Schizosaccharomyces pombe: one gene and its partner. The protein of the gene in region 2 purifies or fractionates together with the protein of the main gene of each other region. This does not show direct contact. Each region holds a gene or a part of one and is shown on either strand. Other genes may lie near its edges.

Region 1 (6,516 bases), on a different chromosome or scaffold from region 2:
CGGCTTTCTAATTTTCTACCGAGAAAGAGTAGAAAGTTTCCCATTTCATTCATAATTTCTGATCCATTCTTGGTATCTTATTGTTTTGCTTTTATCCAATCTCAGTTTATATTTGTGAAACTTGAAAAAGAGTTTCTCTTGTCTCTAAAAGACTAAATTTTATTTTTTATTTTTTTATTAATTTGCATTTAACATCTGCTAATCTTTAAAATGGCAGTCCTACAGTGGAAGTTATCTCGTGTTATATTCGTGTTGTTAATCATTGGGATTAGCTCTTTTCTCATTTACTTCCAATTTGGAAACTCTTTTTCTGCTTCACCTGCTTTAGAACGTTTACAAGATGTATTTTCCAAACCAAGTGTACAAGAATACGACTACTTAGTACCTCTGGATGAAGATATGCAAGGCCTTAGCACGACGTATCATCAAGCGACAATTAACGAGGATGATCCTCAAGAGCCCAAATCCCATGAAATAGTAATCCTCTTAGCGAGTGATGGACGTTCAAGTGGCAATATGGCACCTGAAACATTTAATCAATGCATAGAAAACCGAATTAACTACGCAAAGCATCACAACTATGGCTTTGAATATGTTAATGTAAGCCAAATGAACATTCCTCCAGTGTGGGCCAAAATGCCCGCTATTATACAAACAATGAATAAGCATCCTCATGCGAAATGGATTTGGTGGTTGGACCAAGATGCGTTAATTTTGAACACAGAACTCTCTATTCAAGAACATATTTTGTCACCTGACGTTTTAGTGGAAAAGTTAATGAAGAATGAACCTATGATATCTCCATTTAGTGCTGATCTCGAACGTCTCACCCCAAGTTCCTATACTGTTGACAGTGCTCGTTCTTTAGGGCTATTGATTTCTCAAGATTTGAATGGCTTAAACGCGGGAAGTTTCTTTGTTAGAAGGTCGCCCATGATGGCTCTGTTTTTGGACTTATGGGGCGATAAATCCTTTAGAGAAAATAAGGTTGCGGATCATGAACAGGCCCTTTTGGGATATTTTGTTAGATATCACCCGGAAATTGCTGCTATAATAGGAATTTTACCTCAAACCCTTATTAATTCTTACCCTGTTGGCCAGCCGGAAATGGGCTGGAAAGAAGGTCATTTGGTTATACATTTTGCTGGGTGTTGGGTGGAGAACCGTTGTCAGGTTTTGTGGGATGAATATCGTGAGAGGGTTCATTGATGTGCATTAATAATAATAGTATTACCATTATTAATGCATTTGGTTATTTCCCCTCATCTTGTCTTTATTTTTATTATACACAAGCCACTGGATGCCACTCCTTTTACATAATTACCTATACAATTATGCTCTATGTATGTGTATATATTATCTAAGCATAGTCTGCCTCCTTAACCGTGCTAGTTACGGTTGTTTTCAATGGAAGAATGTGTTTATTTTATATGCGGTGTTCTGTTACAGAGGTGGTGGATAATCATCTAATTCCTTCTTTAATTTTTCTAATATACATTGCTATATAAACTAATTGTGACACTTATATTATAGGTGGTTTTGCAGGCCCCAGACAAATATTAATTGTGTTTAATTCATAAGCTTAAGGCTGAAACCACCAATCTTTTATTATATTTGTTTTATTGCACTTAATCTTTGGCTTTTTTTCAATTATTATTGAATCTATGCTACCTGTGTGAAACATAATCGATATTACTCCTAAAAAGCTGTGGATATTTGGGTAGGTAAAGTTATATCGCTTGATCCTAAGTTTGATATTTGTATTTTTTTTTGTTTAGGAAGTTGGCAATGCTTGCAATCTTGTCTTTTTCTATACATTTCTTCCTTGCCTTTGTCTTCAATCTAATCTGCGTATAAATGTCGATCTGGTTTACTTTTATAGACTGAATTCATTAATTTCTTTTTCCTTTTATTAAAGCTATTCAATGTAGATTTGTCACATTATTTTGCTGTGCAGGATTGTCATGAATTGAAAAAGCATACGTTATCTGACTTTATGAACCTCGAAATAAAATAAACAAGCATTATATTACATTTGTGTAAATTATAATGCTGTTAGGGTTGATGATAACTGCAAAATTCATGGCTGGTTTGAAAAGAGCTTTGCCGTTAATTTCAAATAGAAGTTGACATCGCTTTATTAGAGATGTCCAGCACCGGCTATACTCAATGATCATTAGTTGTTATTTCCGCTACATTTGCTTAATGAACCTTTTTATAAAAGCTTGCATCGAAAGAAGAAGTGTCATGTTGTAAATGTTAAAGAGTACCCAGACAAATTCTTCAGATTATTATCTTTACTCTTGACTTTTCCAACAAATTGACGACTCGTTTACTACTATGAATTCTTCATAAACACCCAAATCGACATGCCATTTTTCTGCAAAATTAATGAAGTCGAAGGTGAGCTGTATACAGTTTAACGTATTGGTAAGTATATGCATTAAATTTCTAATCGGTTAATGAGTTGATCATATTTAGGAACTTCAAATTGGTAAACGTAACCGTGGTGTAACTATACTAATCTATTCAAAAAAAAAGTAATTCTGACTGCCAAATTATCACTGAATCTTTTCTTTACACGCTTACCGCTCTCGAGTCCTGTAGAGACAAATTATTACTTTATCGTTATATTACTTTAAACTAATAATATCATTCACCGATAACACATTATAATGTATACTGTATTCTAGTGTAGGGGGTAAATGGAGTCTGGCAGTAGCGCGTATATGTCTGAATTGAATACATATTTCACTTCACTACCAACCACCATTTTATCGTCTGTTTGACAGTATTTAAGCATGGAATTCATTCAGCGTCATATAGAAAATGTTAAAGAGAAGAAAAACTTTGCAGTTCGAGTAAGAATAACTTGATTAGCTTGAGAAAAGAAGAAAATCTAACGTGTTTTTAGTTGTATCGACACTGGGTGGACCGAACCATACCTTATACAACGTATAGATGGCTGACTGTTAGTGGATTAATTGCATTATTTTTTATTAGGATTCTACTGGTTCGCGGTTGGTATATTGTTTGCTATACATTAGCCATTTACCTGCTCAATCTGTTCCTTGCGTTCTTGACTCCAAAATTCGATCCTAGTGTTGAGCAAGCAATGAAAGATGAAGAAATTGAAGAAGGAGTTCTTCCTACTTCCAAAGACGATGAATTTCGACCCTTTATTCGTAGATTGCCAGAATTCAAGTTTTGGTATTCAAGCATGCGTGCCACCTTGTTCGCCTTAGTCGCGTCCTTTTTCCGAATATTTGATGTACCTGTGTTTTGGCCTATTCTTGTTGTCTATTATCTTGTACTTTCTTTTTTCTGCTTTCGACGACAAATTCAGCACATGCTCAAGTATCGTTACGTTCCATTTGATATCGGTAAGAAAAAATTTGGCTCACACTAGGTAGTGTTTGAGCTGATGATGACCATGATCGCGAAATTGTTTTTTTCTTAGAAAGATATGATCACATTCAGTTGATTATATTAATCGGATACTCCTCAGTCGTTCTCTTACAAACATTTGTTTTTTATGTTTTTATATCGCCCACTCTTACTTTTAAACATGTAAGGAATAATTTTTCCAGCCCTATGTTCTTTTTACGCGATAAAACTACTTTTTTCTTTGAACCCAGTAACCTGCAATTTCATCGATAATGATGCTAATTTCGATGCTTTGTAATCCATCGGTTCTCTGGGTGTACAGCTATCTTTCATGCATATTCAAGATGTTAGATATCTGTATCAGGCTAAAAGAAATTGGCGATTATTTCTGTTAACATGTATGTGGATTGTCATGCGGTGATGATTAAAAAAAAATCTTTCTTATTGGAGTTGGGTCTTTGATGAAGTTGATTAACGAACAAGTTACAGAATACTCGGCTTATTCTTGTATCCAGAAGCGCTGGAAGTGGGCTAATTTGAAAGACATGTATCTCTTTCGAAAAGCTTACTCGCTTCTTCACGAACAGTTGTATATGGATAATAATTAGCATGCAGGTACAAAAATAAATTCATTGAAGCAACAAAATGACATGAAATTCTTTACAGCTAAGGAGTTTTAATAAACTGCAAACCAAAATTTAAAAGGTGTTTGTCAAATTTGACAGCATGGCTACTGTAGTAAACATTTACGTACATGATAAAGTTAGTAATTGTATGGTATCGTCTTAAGCACAGACAGTCGATTTTCCGTTAGAACAGCACGAGGGTTTTTCTGATGTGCAACAGCTTTTCTTTTCTTGAGAGCAGCAGGAGGTTTTTTCTGTTGAACAGCAACCTTTTTTTTCTTGAGAACAGCACGAAGGTTTTTTCGATGAACAACAGCTTTTCTTTTCTTGAGAGCAGCAAGAAGGTTTTTCTGATGGACTAGAATCCTTCTTGGAACAGCATGAAGAACCCTCGTTGACGGATTTCAACTCGGCATGCTCTGTCCATAAACTTTTGCCTGTACAAGCACAAATTTGCTTGGTATTTTGACCCAAACCAGCGCTACGGGAAATAATTCCCATAGTGGCGGAATCAGAATCGTCGACACATTTAAGAACGAAACAGTGACCAATCCAATTTGGTAAGGATCCAGAAACCTCTTTGTCGAGAACAATTTTTCCTTGCTCATTGGAGTTTGCATTAAAAAGGGTAACAAGGCTATCGCCAGCGGATTTGAGTCCACGGGAAATGTCTCCTGAGATAGTGACTAATCCTGTATACTCTCTATTTGGTAGGAGTTGAGTAGCAATCAAATCGAGGAAAATTTTCTCCTCGGTGGGAATAAAACGGCAAAGTCCGTAAACTTTGGGAATCTGGGTTATATCTTCATTGGCTTCATAAAGAATGGAAACGCCCGATTCTTTGTTACTAGCACCACGAATGAGAATGGGCTTCGAAGTGGCATTTTCCAAGCGCCGAAGGACTTTTGAAGGAGAGACTGAAAATCTACGTTAGCTAAGAGTAAAATGAGAAAAATAGGAAGTAAAAGAGGAAGTCAAACAATTTACTTTCAATTTTATGAACTAATGTAAAGCAGGATGAACTCACAAATCTCTCTTTTCTTCCTCATTTCTTATTGGTTTTATCACTTACCAGAACCCTTCACAATTAATTGACCAGTTGCAGCATCCCATTTCCAATCTTCAATGTTTAAATCTTGGAATTCCTGCTCGAGGGTATTCTTATTTACGTCGTCACAATCCTTAATGAGATATTCAACCTAAAAATTTTATTAGCACTCTTTGAACCAAATTTTCAAACAAATGCCATACTTCAAACATGTTGAAAACAAAAAGAAGCCGAAAGCAAAATAAGCCTTTAATATGATATTATTGATGTTGGCAAATGGCAACTTCTACGGAACTGCGTAAGGTGGTGAGATTTACTTTAGAATGGAAGGCAAACTCAGTATGAAGATTAGTCAGAAGGAAAGTTAATGGTATATTGAATTGAAAAATGCAAAATATGAACGTCAATTTTTAAAGAATATCATTGATTTTATTAGAAATGACAATGAATGTTGGATTTTTCTATTTATTATTATTTATTTTTTTAAATTTTTTTGGAAGATTTGTTTTTTATTCCAAGCGAGTTAAATGGCTTTTCTTTCTGTTGGTTTATAAATGAACATAGAGATTGTATTATTATTTATTTTTCATTAATTTTTTAAAGACCATTTAGCTGTAATTGTTAGTGTACAACTCCTTCGTTTGATTTAAAAAAATAAAATAAATGCTATGGGCGATAGAGAGATGTAGGAATATCTAAATTCTAAGTATTATTTTTCTTATATTATGGAGAATTTGAACGTTCTGTTTAGTGATTACAGTACTCTCACAATTTTAGTGATTCGTATATATACATGAATTGAGTATTCTCGATTTCTTTTCAAACAAAGAATCGAATTCTGTTGGCAATTTTTTTTTTCATTCATCTATTATTATTTTAGTATTAATTTTTTCACTTCAATCGAGATTATATATTTGCTCCGGTTTGATCTATTTGCCTTTCAAAGACTTAGTATATTACATTACTACCAGTACTGTGAAACATCTTATATAGAATCCATGCAATTGATATTCGTCCATACTAGAATAAAATTTATAGTTATTTAAAATGAATTAATTAAAGTAAACTGTTGCCGAAATTCTTCAACCAATCTTTTTTGTTTATACTCGAAAATCTGCCAACTAGCGAACGTTTCATGGCCATTAGAGAATATGGGGTTTTTAAACTATGGAACTGAATGAAAGGAAATGGGTTCATTCGGAGTCCCAACCGCTTTGTATATCGCCCGTTTTCCAGAATTATGCCTTTCCATGCCTATATATATGGAATCATACGTCAACCTATTACTTTCCAACTACCAAACACTTGTGAAGCGAGAAATTTCTTTGACAACGAGTTTTACTTGGTTTTGTACTAAATTTTTGAACCCTGCTAGTGTCTTAAAAAAATTTGAAAATGGTAAAGGTTTGCCTATTTGTTGCGGACGGCACTGATGAAATTGAGTTTTCGGCACCT
Region 2 (6,661 bases):
TCGTCTTGATACGACAGTGAAGGATATCTTGATCAGAAGGTATATATTGTGGGTCAAAAATTCGATCAATGTGATCTTGATAGTAATAAAAATTGTCTAACAAAGAGAGGTTGGTACCACAACTTTGCACCGTACGAAGTTTGGTATCCAATGTCAAGGCATGAACAGCTTCATATATTTCTGGAGAAAATGGCTCATTGGGTTGAGAAGTGTGTTTTCTTAGGATAACTGCCCGATACTTCTCATTTTCCGGAAGTAAAGAGACATTACTATTATCCATAGCTTCAAGAAGAAGACATAGAGAGGAGATGATATTTTCAAAAATCATCACTCGATACTGCTTTCTAACTACTTGACTAAAACCGGGGCTATACAATAATCTCATCTGCTTCATAATGGTCGTTTTCCCACTATCACCGGCGCCTAAGAGCAAAACTTTAATGTCATTTCCACCTGAAGTAGAATTTCCTTTTACGCGTACTCCAGAACTTTCCACATTTTGTGGTTTTCCACGCAGGACGATATTAAGCCAGTTTTCAAGGACTGGAACTCGAGCGTTTTGACTTCCAGTTGTAGAGCTGTTTGAGGTTTGCGTATCTGAAAGCTTCTTTTGAATGACTTCTCCTCCTGATGTATCAGCGTATTTACTCGACATGCATCCCATGGTGAAAAGGCAGCTACAGATTCCAAATCCCCACAAGGAGATAATTCAAAGTCGAGACAAAGAAAGTTAATCTCCGCAATTTTCTGTAAAAACAGCAGAAAAGGTGATAAATAAGGATTTTTGGATTAAAAAAGAAATAATAGATGTCGTTAAATCTCAAATATTTGTGAAGTGGACCCAACTATAAGCAAAAAACCCAATTGCCAGATAATTCCAAGAGATCCAAAAGAATACTATTATATAGTAAAAAGAAACTATTATTTAAACAATTTGGTTAAAAAAACCAGGAGGATTCTTTGAGAAAAATCGTGTAATGACACAAACAAACTTTGGTATTCGTAAACAGTCAAATTTATTATACTATCACGGTTGCGATAAGGTATTAGATGAAATTAAATCAAGAACTGTTTAATTTTTGAATGAGAAATCAGTGGATCAACTCCTTTAATGTAAACAAAGCAACCCAAAAAACAAAATTGCGTACAATTTACAAAGAAACCAGGGTTTTAATGAGCAGCAATGGTCTCCAACTATAAAGGGAGTTACAAATACCTGTTCTCCTTTAATACTTCCTAAATGGATACTAAGATTGCTAAGCCGTCAAAGAAGTTGAGATGTTGAAAAAGGTAACTACAATGCGTGTACACTATCAGGTGGTAAGCGAGCTATTAGAATTCGTAAGAATGAAACAATTACAGAAACAAAGGCTTTTTACTTATTGGAAAAGTGAAATCGTTATACTTTCACTGGTACGTGCTTATAGTGTCTTGTCGATTTTAACAGAATATTTTTTTGTATGTCTAGTGATCCAACGGACCTGGCAAATGTCAACAGTCCGAATAAAAGAAGTTTCTACAACAAAGACCTTATCTAAAAAGTTAAGTTGATAGTACTTCGGTGTATTTACATCTGCATTTTTCTCTAAGAGCAACATCCTCACAATATGTGCCCGCTTTCAATGCTATAGTGCGAATTTGGAAGAATGGGGAGGATGAAAATGTACAAATATTTGACAGTATGAACTTCAACATCATTTATTAATAGGATTCAGAATGAACAGTAGCAAGTATCTCTTTTACTCTGCGTACCGATTCAAATCTTAATACAACAAATGCGTGTATGTAGTATGTGTTAATACTACACAACAATCCAACTATTTTGAGCGAAGTAACGCTAAATTTACAAAGAGAGTTACAAACTGATACGTTCATACATGCTTATTTAAGTGTTCGATGTCGCAAAAATGAACGTTTGCTAGTTAAAGAGTTTTGATACATGTTGGGGTTAAGCAAATGTTGGCATATATAGTTGTAATCTGTCATGGTGCCACTGCCGTTTGAGCAAGTTCATCTTCGATTCTTAAAGTCTTATCGTTTAATATCGGTTTTCTTGCTTTTTCCAAATTCCAAACACCTGTGTATTTCAAAACATCTTTCTTTTCTATTTGTAAAGGCAAACTTGTTGCTTGTCATTTTGTGGCACTGCAGGTTTTGAGTAATTTTGGACAAGAACCACCTATTCTAGATTTTTAAAAACAAATATATAGGTGGATAGTCATAATAGTTCATTTTTAATTAATGAATGTATTTGATAAATAAAAGTAAACGGTTTAAAGACGCTCCTGTTGTGACGGCGTTCATTTAAATGTTTCATTTCGAGATATATTCGGGTGCGTTTTCTTGTTATTATGTCTACATGAGTCTTCTTCTGCATGCGGTTAAGTATTTCTAATTAATTAGTTTAATACCTTTACTTCTGGTAAACTTGAAATTTATCGAGGCAATACTGGATTGACTTGCTTTGCCAGACAGATCAACGAGCCATTACTTGAGTGAAGCAATAGTCAATGAATAAATACTAAAAATGCAAACATTTGAAGTTTATTAATGGATTGAAGATTCTAAACAATATTATTATTGGATTAAGCCGTACTCAAAAATTGAGTTGAAAAAGTATCAAATTCTTGCGCCTTTTCATTTAAATGATCGTTCAACTTCAGTGTAGAAGAATTTGTAAAAGATGAAAGTATATTCTTGGCTTGAGAAGGAGCATCAGGGCCTAAATCCGTGATTGCAGTAGTCATATTTGATAGTGCCTCCTCGTAATTTGGTTGAGAATCGAGGGCAGTTTTCAGCGAGCTCAAAGCCTCTTCAGGTCTCAACAAGCATATGTCTGCACACGCCATACCAGTTAAAGTCATTGGATTGCTATCAGTTCCGTTTAACTCTTCAAAAACATAAAATGCATCATTATAGGATTCGACGCCTCCACTAACTATTTTAATCCAAGATTGTGCCAGCTGTAGTACAATTTCTTCATCAGCCCAATCCAAAGCCTGTTTCAATGTCTGTTCAGCAGCTTCAATTTTGTGCTCTCGTAAATGAATGTATACTTGAAGCGCCACCGCCTCCAAGTTCTCTACTGACTTCTTTAATAAATCCATTGCATCATCAAAAGAACCATTTTTAATTTGAAAAATAGCTCCTAATGTTTGTACCACACTGTCTGAATTGCCATGCTGGTCAATAATTAACTCCATGTTCCCCTCCCCAGCCAGCGCCAGAATAGCAGCTGATCCAGGCGTTTTTTGAGTTAAAATACTTTGGATTGATTCTAAACTTTCACCTAAAGCTAATTTTGCCCTTGCCATATAAATTTCGGTCAATTCAAGACCTTTTTCAGACATGGATGTCGTGTCAATTTCAAATAACTTTGTATAGTTTCCACTATAAAAGTATTGACGAACAAAATACAGTTCTATCAAATATTAGTTGTTATTTAATTCCCAACTCATCTCTTACCATTAGATAAACTAGCCTCCCATGAAAACATGTTAAAAGTTTTAATTATGTTGGGCGATGTGTGGAGTAGAGAGTATGTGGGTTAATGGTGTTTGTACATGAGTAACCCTACAACAAAATGTAAAGCAAACGAACTTTCCATCAAGACTTGTAATTTTTCTAATTGCTCCGAAGCCTAATATAATATATTTCGCAGTCAGCAAGTAAAATGTTCGATAATTGAGATCCTTTTTCTACAGGTCGTTGTTGTATTCAAGAATCACCAGCAAACTACATTTTGGTCCACTGGCTTTTATATACAATGCAACAAATCTAGTGTTATAAATCAATACATGTTAACAAAGCGAACATTATAATTTATTAGAATAACAAATGGCGAGCTTTAAAAAAAAAGAAAAAAAAAAATTGTAAAACCTAGACTACCTTTGAAAGTTTGAGTTTAACTCAAGGTAACTAATCAATATATATATATATATATACTTCCTTTATTCCTCACATATTGTACTAAACCCAAAAAAAAAAAGGTTGTGGTCTTTTTTATGGCAGTATCAAAGTACAGAGTAAAACACTCTACAACTCCAATGTCTATCTAAATTCTAAAAATTAAATCCAAATCAAAAAGGCCAAAACAAACTTAAAAGTTGGAAGGGTATAAAACAGAGTCTGCATAAGCAAACGTATCTTTGATGGAGCGAGGAGAAACGAATCGAGACAGAATCATTCCGCTACCAGCTTTATCGTTAGTACCACTGGCACGAGCACCACCAAAAGGTTGTTCACCAACAACAGCACCAGTACACTTATCATTGATATAGAAGTTACCAGCGGCATTACGGAGACGGTCAGTCAACTTTCTGACAACAACACGGTCCTGAGCGAAGATGGATCCGGTTAAACCATAAGGAGTGGTAGTATCGATGAGATCGCAAACAGCGTCTAAGTTGTCATCCTCATATACATAAACAGACAGTACGGGGCCGAACAATTCGTTAACGAATATATCATGTTTAGGGTTTTTAGAAAGTAAAACGGTAGGTTCAACAAAGAAACCTTCGGAATCATCAGCTTTACCGCCAGCCAAAACTTCAATTTCAGAATCGGAAGCAGCACTCTCAAGAACCTTCTTCAGTTTGTTAAAGCTTGCTTGATGGATAACAGGGCCCACAAAATTAGCAAAATCAGTTAAAGGAGCACCGACCTTAAGAGACTTGACCTGTTTGGTAAGCTCATCACGGAAACCATTTTCCCAAGCATACTTAGAAACGTAAAGACGAGAAAGGGCAGAGCACTTTTGGCCTTGATATTCGAAAGCAGCACGAACAGCATTAACAACGGCACTCTTAATTTCAGCGGAAGAATGTACAAGATGAAAGTTCTTACCACCAGTCTCACCGACGATTTTGGGGTAAGTGCGGTATTTTCCGTTGGCAACATTCTCGCCAATTGTTCCCCAAAGGCTACGAAAGACGGCTGTGCTACCAGTAAAATGAAGACCAGCAAACTCAGGGTGGTTGAAACAAACCTTGGAGACTTCAACAGCGTCACCAGGGATAAATTGAAGTGCTCCAGCGGGAAGACCAGCTTCACGGAAGATTTGGTAAACAATGTAGCTAGAAAGGACTGCATGGTCAGAAGGCTTCATTAAAACGACGTTGCCCATGAGAAGGGGGGCAGCAGCCAAGTTACCAGCAATAGCTGTAAAGTTGAAAGGAGTAATGGCATAAACGAAACCTTCCAAAGGACGATATTCCATACGGTTCCAGACACCAGGAGTGTTTTCGGGAGGTTGGCTGGCATATAATTCACTAGCATACTTGGTATTGAAGCGAAGGAAGTCAATGATCTCCATTCCAGCGTCAATTTCAGCTTGCCAGATGTTCTTACCCTGGCCAATCATTGTAGCAGCCATGAGCTTGTAACGGTACTTGGTGCTTATCAAATGAGCAGCCTTCAAGAAAATGGCAGAACGGTCAGCAAAAGGTAAGGATTCCCAGACCTTCTTTCCACGAAGTGCTGCCTCAATGGCATCTTCAACGTGCTTGGCACCAGCACGGTGATAGCGAGCAACGACCTTTTTGTGCTCAAAAGGACAACGCTGCTCACCAATGGTATTCGTTTCAACTTCCTTACCATCAATGATGACAGGGATAGTGACAGGTAATTCAGCCTCTAACTCCTTGTAGGCCTTGACGATTCCCTCTCTGTCAGCACTATTGGGACCATAGTGTTTAGGAGGCTCGTTCTTAATGGCAGGTAATTTGAACTCAGCAAATTGTGACATTTTACTTAAAAATGAAATAAATCTAATAAGTATTAATATCGCATAAATAAAACGTAGAAAACCTAAAGATAGAAAGCAATGAAAAGACGCGTAGGGGTCTCACTCAAAACAGTTATTACATAGATATAAATACTTACTAGTTTCAATCCAAACGTTTAAAGAGCGTTAGAAATCGTTTCCTTTCTAATCGCCTGTATTGAGGTATTGGTGTTCTGGAAATATCCTGACAGAGATTTGCCTCTTATATATATACTCCTATATATTCTTATAAACAGGTAGTGTCGATGTGATCGCACTCCGTGGAATTTGCAATTTTGCTTAAAAAATCAGCTAAAATATTGATTATGAGACTTATAGAAGTGAACCCTGAACTTGTTGGTCTTTGGTCGTATTATTTGATTTATTTCAAAGGGAAGTGTTTTAACTGCTTTTAATCACACTCGGACATCTTCACATTATCTTACCGAACTATTAAATAGATAGCCTGAAGGCTTGGAATTGTATTTCGCTTAAATTGTAATCTAGCGCAAATCTTTATGATTGTTAATATTAAACTCTTGCTTCGTACTATTGAATCAGCTAGCTCTTTGCAGGGATTACTTCAAACTTAGTTTTGCATCCGATCCTCAGATTGTGTATCTGATTTAATTTATGAGTTCAAACTATAGTTGCAGAAAACCGAATTACAAAAAGAAGTAGGAAGGAAACATGACACTTTTTTAATGTTTATAAAATAGTAAGATATCAATAAAGCGGAACGAGTTTTTGTCTGATACTACAAAACAAATTTTATCGAAATGATGATTTCAGCATTTTGCATTGATATAATTTTTGGACAAAAAAGCTTTTTTCCAATGTTCACAAGTAGAAATGGTATCTATTTGAACGATAAGTTAAATTCTTGACATTAGATTA

Evidence for each region. Proteins that work in one complex are often made in the same cells at the same time.
Region 1: the proteins of sec28 (region 2) and rer1 purify together in Schizosaccharomyces pombe (affinity purification with western blotting, with the first as the bait; one study listed by BioGRID). This does not show direct contact.

The regions. Positions count from the first base shown.
Region 1 is NC_003424.3:5,023,693-5,030,208, reverse strand, and holds rer1 (Rer1 family protein), read left to right. Parts: upstream 1-2,758; 5' UTR 2,759-2,801; coding exon 2,802-2,861; intron 2,862-2,914; coding exon 2,915-3,409; 3' UTR 3,410-4,066; downstream 4,067-6,516. Other genes in the region: alpha-1,2-galactosyltransferase Gmh3, read left to right, coding at 211-1,209; superoxide dismutase Cu chaperone Ccs1, read right to left, coding at 4,173-4,930, 5,086-5,212, 5,265-5,273; glyoxylase III Sdj1, read left to right, coding at 6,457-6,516.
Region 2 is NC_003423.3:2,324,341-2,331,001, reverse strand, and holds sec28 (coatomer epsilon subunit protein), read right to left. Parts: upstream 3,529-6,661; 5' UTR 3,497-3,528; coding exon 3,466-3,496; exon of another isoform or gene 3,422-3,465; coding exon 2,586-3,421; 3' UTR 2,501-2,585; downstream 1-2,500. Other genes in the region: gpa1 (G-protein alpha subunit), read right to left, coding at 1-664; put2 (delta-1-pyrroline-5-carboxylate dehydrogenase), read right to left, coding at 4,100-5,746. UniProt on the Schizosaccharomyces pombe protein: The coatomer is a cytosolic protein complex that binds to dilysine motifs and reversibly associates with Golgi non-clathrin-coated vesicles, which further mediate biosynthetic protein transport from the ER, via the Golgi up to the trans Golgi network.